Rattus norvegicus: one gene and its partner. The protein of the gene in region 1 interacts with the protein of each later gene in a pairwise test. Links are inferred from orthologs where the notes say so. Each region holds a gene or a part of one and is shown on either strand. Other genes may lie near its edges.

Region 1 (3,749 bases):
AATGGGACAAGGTGATCTGCTAGAAACACCAATGAGAAAGATACATTCATGAAAATGTCTGCAAATGTCAATTCCACACTGATCTTCTGGAGGGTCAGGATGACTTCCCTCAATTGGTACTCTGGGTAGCATCTCTGTCACTTTTGTCACCTGTCCTGCACCTTTTCAGTCTGAATGTTTATCCTAGGTCTTCTACCAAGGTAGATGTACTCCTAAGAAGGTGGAAACAGGTGCTCAAAAAAGGAAAGAGAGGTCAATGAACCCTGCAACTGTGCTCCCATGTGCACGGGGCCTCTGCTGCACATGAGGGTGTATGCATGTGTGTCTGTTCCTCCCATCCTAGTATTGGAAGGGATTTGTAAAGTTAGAGCCAATCTAACACAGAGAAAAGATAAAGGAAGTGTTGGCCTCTCTTTCAAGGTATACTGTCAGGCAAAATGGCACTATCAACCTCTTACTGTTCCCCGTATGCATGATCTCGGACAGGTGAACTGCACAAATCTTTTTGGGGTTCCTTGAGCTCCTGCATCCACACCAACGAAGTGATCCCTAAAGGGAGACATGCTGAGGCAGACTTGCTTTCCTTTTCTTTTGGGGGCCAAAGTATTTGTATTTTCACTACATGCAAAATCATGCAAAAGTCTTGTTTTAAACATTGTAATTCGCTAAACTTAATATTAACTATAGTGATGATGAAAGAAATCAAAGTCCCAGAGTACTTGCAGCTTGTTTTTTTTAAGTTGTTTGTTTGTTTTTGTTGTTTGGGTTTTGTTGTTGTTGTTGTTGTTGTTGTTGTTGTTGTTGTTGTTCTGGAGTCTCACATAGCCCAGACTGACATCAAACACACTGGTAGCTGACAGATGATCACCAACTCCTGATCTTTGGGCCTGCACTTCCCAAACCCTGGCATCACAGATATGTGCCACCAAGCTTGCTGCCATAAATGTCTTTGATTCATAAGCACATTCTTGGTTGTTTTTCATGGGTTGACAATTTTAAAAATTCAGTGTAATCATGCACAAGATTGTAGAAAAACAAATAAAAACCCTACATAAATGACAAAATTAATTATTCTAAGGAAAGAAAGCACTGTCCCTGTTTGTTTCTGAGAGTTAATATGCAGGTTCGGTTCGCGTTCTCTCACCTCCCCATAGCTGTCACTCTGTCAGCTGAGAAGCTGTGATGCGCACGAATCAGACAGCACACAGCAGTCACCCTGATTCATTAGTCACAGTGTCACTACCTACCTACATAGAGGACGCCCTCTTTTGTCTTCCCAGCTGCCTCTGCCACACCCTGCTTGGTTTTCTCAGCAGCAGCCACAACTCCCTCCTTGGCCTTTGAAAGTCCTTTCATGAACACATCCATGGCTAAAGATGTATCTTTGCTCCACACTAGAGAATACAGAATACATTTTGAATTAGAAATTTTGGGGTAAAAGAAAGCAAGGTTTAAAACAGCTAGAGAAAGAAATGAAATTGAGGCGAAAGAAATCACAAAAAAAAAAAAAAAGTATATGCCTCCCACCCCTCCTGCCTCATCCTGGTGTGAGATTTTTTTTTTTTTTTTGAGGACTGGGCACAGTGTTGATTGATTGTGAGCAGTTCACTCAACACTAGTAAAAAGTCATGCCACTTAAGAATGTGATGGATCCAGATGGATCACTTGGCTGTTCTCACACATTTCAGGAGTTACTGAAGAGGAGACGGACTTCCTCTACCCCATCAAGTTCCCATGGCCCAAAGGAGACATTCGAAGTAAAAAGACTATCTGGAAAAAGAACTGAAGGGTGAGGGAGCAGAGGTGGAATAGGGGCAAGAGGGAAAAAAGACGTAGAGAGGAGTCGTCAATCTTTGGAGAAGGAAGGGAGGGGAACTGTTTAATCCAGAAGTAGGGAACTGGAGACCAACTGCCTTCAGCCCAGTCTTTCTAACCTAGCAAGACCTTCCACCCACCACTAGCTAGTTGCTGGCTATCTGCCCAGAGCAGGCGCTGGCTGTCCATGCACTTGAGCATTATCACTTGAGCACCACCCAACCATGAAGCTCTGTCCTCAGCTGGAATCCTCTAGAAGACCCTGCACCCTGTGCTCATTAACCCCTTATCACCTGTTGCCTACTGTCCTCTGCACTTCTATTAATCACTGGCCAAATGCACCCTTCTTCCGCTATAGAAGGAAGATGAAATGCCCTGGGGCTGGAGTATAAAAGTTGGATGCTCAAATTCCACCCAATGCCCAGCACTCAGCTTCCAGCATCCAGCATCCAACATGAAACACCCTAGCGTTTCCGCTTGAAAAAAGCAGATGCCACAGGCAACCTGGCCTTTCCCTCGGGCTTTGAGAGGATGGCAGGGCACGTCTCCAACGGAAGGAAAACCGAGTGATGTACTTTCCAGTCACTGACTCTGTCCCCACGGCCAAGGTAGCCATAGTCTGTCTCCTCTAGGCGTCCAGGTTGTTAGCTAGGGCTCTCCAAGATCCCCAGAGCTACTGCATCTACAGGTACTTACCGGCTCTCTAGGCTTCCGCAGAACTCTGATTCCTCCTGTTTTCCCCAATCTAATTTCAATGCAAGAGGGGTGAAAGGCTCTGGGCTGAGGGGCAAGGGCAGGGGGAGCACCTGCTGGTCTCCTGCCGTCTGCTGCCGGGCGCTCTGGCTCCCTGGCTCCTTCACGTCGCCCCCGCAGCTGATTTGTCAGCTCCTCTCCCCGCCCCTCGCCTGCCTCGTGCCTTCGCTCGTTTTCCTAGGGAGGGGACGGGATGGCGGTGCGTGAGGGCTGTGGGTACCGGGAGCACGCTCCCCAGGAGGAGGGAAGAGAGGGTAGCCTGAGTTTCACCTCGAGTTCAGGGGGCCTTCGGTTTTATCGTGGCTGAACTTGAGCTGGCCTCTTTCCTATCTCATCCCCTTCTTCCCTGCCTCAGCCTGTTCTCGGTTCCTCTAGGCGACCCCCCTCCTCCGGACGAGCCGGGAAGCGGACACCAGAGGACTGAACCGCCTGAAATGATCTGTGTGCGGAGCCAGGCGAGGGGAGGGAGCACACACCCTTCGGGTTGCTTTTGTTCACACAGCCTGAGAATTCCATTTGTTTTAACCCCGAAGGAGTCTAAAAAGGTTCTTCTGGGTGTGAAGGGGAGCCGACTAAGGAAGAGTTACAGGTCGAGGAGGCAGGGGGAGGCTCAGCAAATCCTCTTTCCCACTCCACTATCACCATTTTCGTTTCCACCAATCAGCGGCTGCCAGACGCTGATTTTTTTTTCCCCCATCTGTGGAGCAAGGAATAAATAAACCCCAACCGTCGAAAACCAGCTGCCTAAAGGCTTTTTTGCACTTGAAAAAGTGGCTTACTATTGAGAACCCTGTTACAGGATTGGAAGGTAGCTCCTGTGGGATTCACCCTCTGGGACCATCGCAGGCAGTTTCTTCCTACTTAATGGCAGACTTTGCACACCTCTTACCTTTCCGACTTCTGGCTGCATGGAGTTCCAGCTAACAGACCTTTCTTCCAAGCCCAGCAGACAGGCAGATGGATGCACAGGCTTCGAGACAATTTCTGTGCTACTTAACACATTTTCATTTCTTTCTGAGATGAGCAGAATATCGCTGTTTGATAGCTGAGTAGATTTGAGTGCCAAGCTCCTCCCCCAGCCTTGCTTTTCTTGTATTCTGGACTTGTACTGGGCACTGTAAGCTAAACCAAGCTTTTACTGTATTTAAAAAAAAAGTAGAAGGGAAAATGTTTTCTCTGAC
Region 2 (3,649 bases), on another chromosome or scaffold:
CTTTGGGCTCTCCACAGCAGCTGACTGATTTGCCTCGTGCTCTAGCACAGGCAAGGTTTTACCAGCTGCAGATAGTTTCTGCTATTGTGTGACATTTGGAATTCTGGGAACTTTTCAGAGGATATGTAAATGCTAGGGCCCCGAGAGGTGTGATTGGTGGTTGTTCAGGGGGTTGGTTATGGTTTGTTAGTAGTGGTGCTCAAAGAAGAAAGAAATTAGATTCAGAGATCTCTTTTTCTCACCCCTCTCTCCTCCTTTTTCTCCTGTCTAGTGAAACCAGAGGGGATAAAGGATGGGAAAAAGAAGAACTCACAAAGTAGCAAAACCTAGCCTGGCCTGGTCTGTCTTCTTTGTAGACTTACCAGGTTGTGGAGCCTGCCATCAGCCTTCAGCTTTCTTGGCAGTGCTAGTAACCCAGAACCTTCCTTTCTCCCTTGCTGCTACCTCTGACTCCAGCTCTTGGTTCACACCTTGCAGGAGTCCCGTGGTCTGGCTGGCGGCAATGACGTCCAGGCAGAGGTCCCTCTGTGGTCTGGCTGCTCATGGCCTCTGGTTCTTGGGCCTTGTCCTTCTGATGGATGCAACTGCTAGACCTGCCAACCACTCATTTTCTCGGGAAAGAGCAGCCAACAGGGATGAAAATGAGATCATACCCCCAGACCACTTGAATGGGGTGAAGCTGGAGATGGATGGACACCTCAATAAGGACTTCCATCAGGAGGTTTTCCTGGGAAAGGACATGGATGGGTTTGATGAGGACTCAGAGCCACGGAGAAGCAGGAGGAAGCTAATGGTCATCTTTTCCAAGTAAGTGTCTCATAATGTCCCCTGCAAATGCATGCTAAGGGACTCAGCATTCGAGATGATAATTTAGTTGCCCTAGTATTCTTCTAGCACAGCAGAGTCATGACTCCTTTGGGGATGAGTGACTCTTTCACAGGGGTTGCCTAAGACCATCGGAAAACACAGATATTTACATTGTGATTCATAGCAGCAAAATTACAGTTATGAAGTAGCAACAAAGATGATAATGTATGGTTGGGGGTCACCACAGCATGAGGAACTGTACTAAAGGGTTGCAGTGTTAGGAAGGTTGATAATGTATGGTTGGGGGTCACCACAGCATGAGGACTGTACTAAAGGGTTGCAGTGTTAGGAAGGTAGATAATGTATGGTTGGGGGTCACCACAGCATGAGGACTGTACTAAAGGGTTGCAGTGTTAGGAAGGTAGATAATGTATGGTTGGGGGTCACCACAGCATGAGGACTGTACTAAAGGGTTGCAGTGTTAGGAAGGTTGAAAACCACATTTTAGTACCTTGTACTTCGATAAGATAAGCTAGGCTGCTTAGCTATGCCCAAGCCCTCATGGCCAGGAAGGCCTCAGAATAAACTTCTGCCCCTGCCCTACCTCTCAAGGACTTTGTTGTGCACTACTGTTCGAACTAGACTATCAGTTGAAAAGCATAAAGTCAGGCCAAGCGAAAGTAAAGTGGTCTTAGCAGGTTATAATTTCAGGTAGAGGAGGGCTGGCCCAGGGCTGCCTAGGAAAAGGTCTAACAAATCAATAAGTTAAGAGCTGATGGGGGAGGAGGACACAGGCTGGTTTGCTTGGGTCCCTACCCTCCCTCCTTCCTTTCTTTTCCTCTGAGATAAGATCTCACTGTGTAGCCCTGGCTGGCCTTGAACTCACAACTGGTCTATCTAATTCTACTTGTCTGCTTGCTTGTCCACTTGCTTGCTTGCATTGTGGTTTTTTTGAGACATGATCTCTCTATTAAATAGCCCTGGCTATCCTAGAATTTGCTATATAGACCAGCAGGCCTCTATTTCCCAAATCCTGGGGTTAAAAATGTGTACCATTACAGCTGGCTCCTTTTCTGCTTTCTCAGTGCTAGGATAAAGGTTTCTGGAAAAATAACTCAGGGAGGACAAGCTGTAATCTCAGCAGTTGCCCTAAGCCTGACCCTGAAGCAGAACATGCAAGGAAGGAAAAAGGCCATCTGAGTCACTGGCATTGAGGTCTGCCACATGGCAGCAGGCAGCCACAGAACAAGGAGGAAAGGTGTAAGGAGAGGTTCTGATGTTAACCTTGTTTCTCAATTGGTCCTTGATTTGTCAATAAAGAATACTGGTGACCAATTGTTGGGCAGAAGGTATAGGTGGGACTTCTGAGTCCCAGGAAGAAAAAAGGCAGACGTAAGGGAGGAGAGGGGCTTTTTGTCATGTTTTGGAGGAAGAAGGATGTAATAATCATGTAAGACCTTAGCGAGAGCTAGGGCTTGTGGCTGCCTCTATGCGAGTGGCCAAGGATGTTTGGCAGGGGCTAGATGGAATGAGCCGTTAAGTTTAGGGCAGAAGGAGAGTCGGAGATAATTGATAAGGACGCAGTGGAGCAAAAATGAGCTGGGAGGGGCTGTATTAGCTCTACAGCTCCCCAGAAGGTGGTAGGTTTTTAAACTACACAAAACAGAAGGGGCCTTGGAAAACTAGTAAGGAGGTTCAGAGATTCCGAAAAAGCATTCCTAGGTTCTGAGCATCCAAAAGAAAGAGACAGAAGAAAACAAAAGCAGGAAGTTGCATCTTTCTGAGTTAGGATTTAGGTGGGCAGACTGACGTTTTGTATGTGCTTGGCCCAGGGCTGGCACTGGTGGGAGGTGTGGCCTTTTGGGGGTAGGCGTGTCACTGTGGGCGTGGGTTTAATACCCTGTCCTAACTGTCTGGAAGCCAGTCTTCCACTAGCAGCCTTCAGATGAAGATGTAGGTCTCTCAGCTCCTCCTGCACCATGCCTGCCTGGATGATGATGGACTGAACCTCTGAGCCTGTAAGCCAGCCCCAATTAAATGTTTTTCTTTATAAGACTTGGTCATGGTGTCTGTTCACAGCAGTAAAAATTTATTCTCTCTCTCTCTCTCTCTCTCTCTCTCTCTCTCTCTCTCTCTGTGTGTGTGTGTGTGTGTGTGTGTGTGCGCGCGCGCGTGTGTGTGTGTGTGTGTGTGTGTGTGTGAGAGAGAGAGAGAGAGAGAGAGAGAGAGAGAGAGAGAGAGAGAGAGAGAATGGAAATAGAGGGCAGCTTACCTGGCTCTTCTCTTCTACCATGTGATTTCCTGGCATAAAACTCAGATCGTCAGGCTTGGTGGCAGGGCCTTTTCTCGCTGAGCCATTTTATTAGTTTTGATGCAGATTCTTTCTGATACTCACTCTACTAAGTGTGTTTAGTTTTGGAGTTCCTGTAATCTATCCCTAAATCCCAAGATCTCTGTCACTAAGACCTGGGTTCTGTTCTTGGGCAAAATGTTAGGTTTCCAAAGGGACTTTGTTATACATTTGTTGCCTGTGAAGGTGCTTGTGTGGTTTAGCTGAGGTATGTGAACTGCTATGATTAGAAGGGTTATGAGCCAGGTATGGTAGTGCCTTTAATCTCAGCACTCAGGAAGCAGAGGCAGGTGTGTCTCTGAGTTCAAGGTCAGCTTGCTCTATAGGACTGGGCTACATAGAGAAACCCTATTTTGAAAAATTAAACTAAACTAAATAAATAAATGAACAAAGGGTTTTAATTCCATCCATCGTATCTCAAGTGGGAAAGTCTCTTCCCAGTGATGATCTATTTTGTCCTTAAGTAGCAGCTCCTGACTTAACTGCTCCCAT

What was found. The genes of interacting proteins can lie anywhere in the genome.
Region 2: the proteins of Snca (region 1) and Sdf4 interact in a two-hybrid assay, tested with the Homo sapiens proteins (2 studies listed by BioGRID and IntAct). The link is inferred for Rattus norvegicus from reciprocal best matches to the Homo sapiens genes SNCA and SDF4.

Annotation. Positions count from the first base shown.
Region 1 is NC_086022.1:91,123,667-91,127,415, forward strand, and holds the start of Snca (alpha-synuclein), read right to left. Parts: upstream 2,650-3,749; 5' UTR 2,512-2,649; intron 1,395-2,511; 5' UTR 1,369-1,394; coding exon 1,248-1,368; intron 1-1,247. UniProt on the Homo sapiens protein: Neuronal protein that plays several roles in synaptic activity such as regulation of synaptic vesicle trafficking and subsequent neurotransmitter release.
Region 2 is NC_086023.1:171,871,838-171,875,486, forward strand, and holds part of Sdf4 (45 kDa calcium-binding protein), read left to right. Parts: intron 1-477; coding exon 478-807; intron 808-3,649. UniProt on the Homo sapiens protein: May regulate calcium-dependent activities in the endoplasmic reticulum lumen or post-ER compartment. Isoform 5 may be involved in the exocytosis of zymogens by pancreatic acini.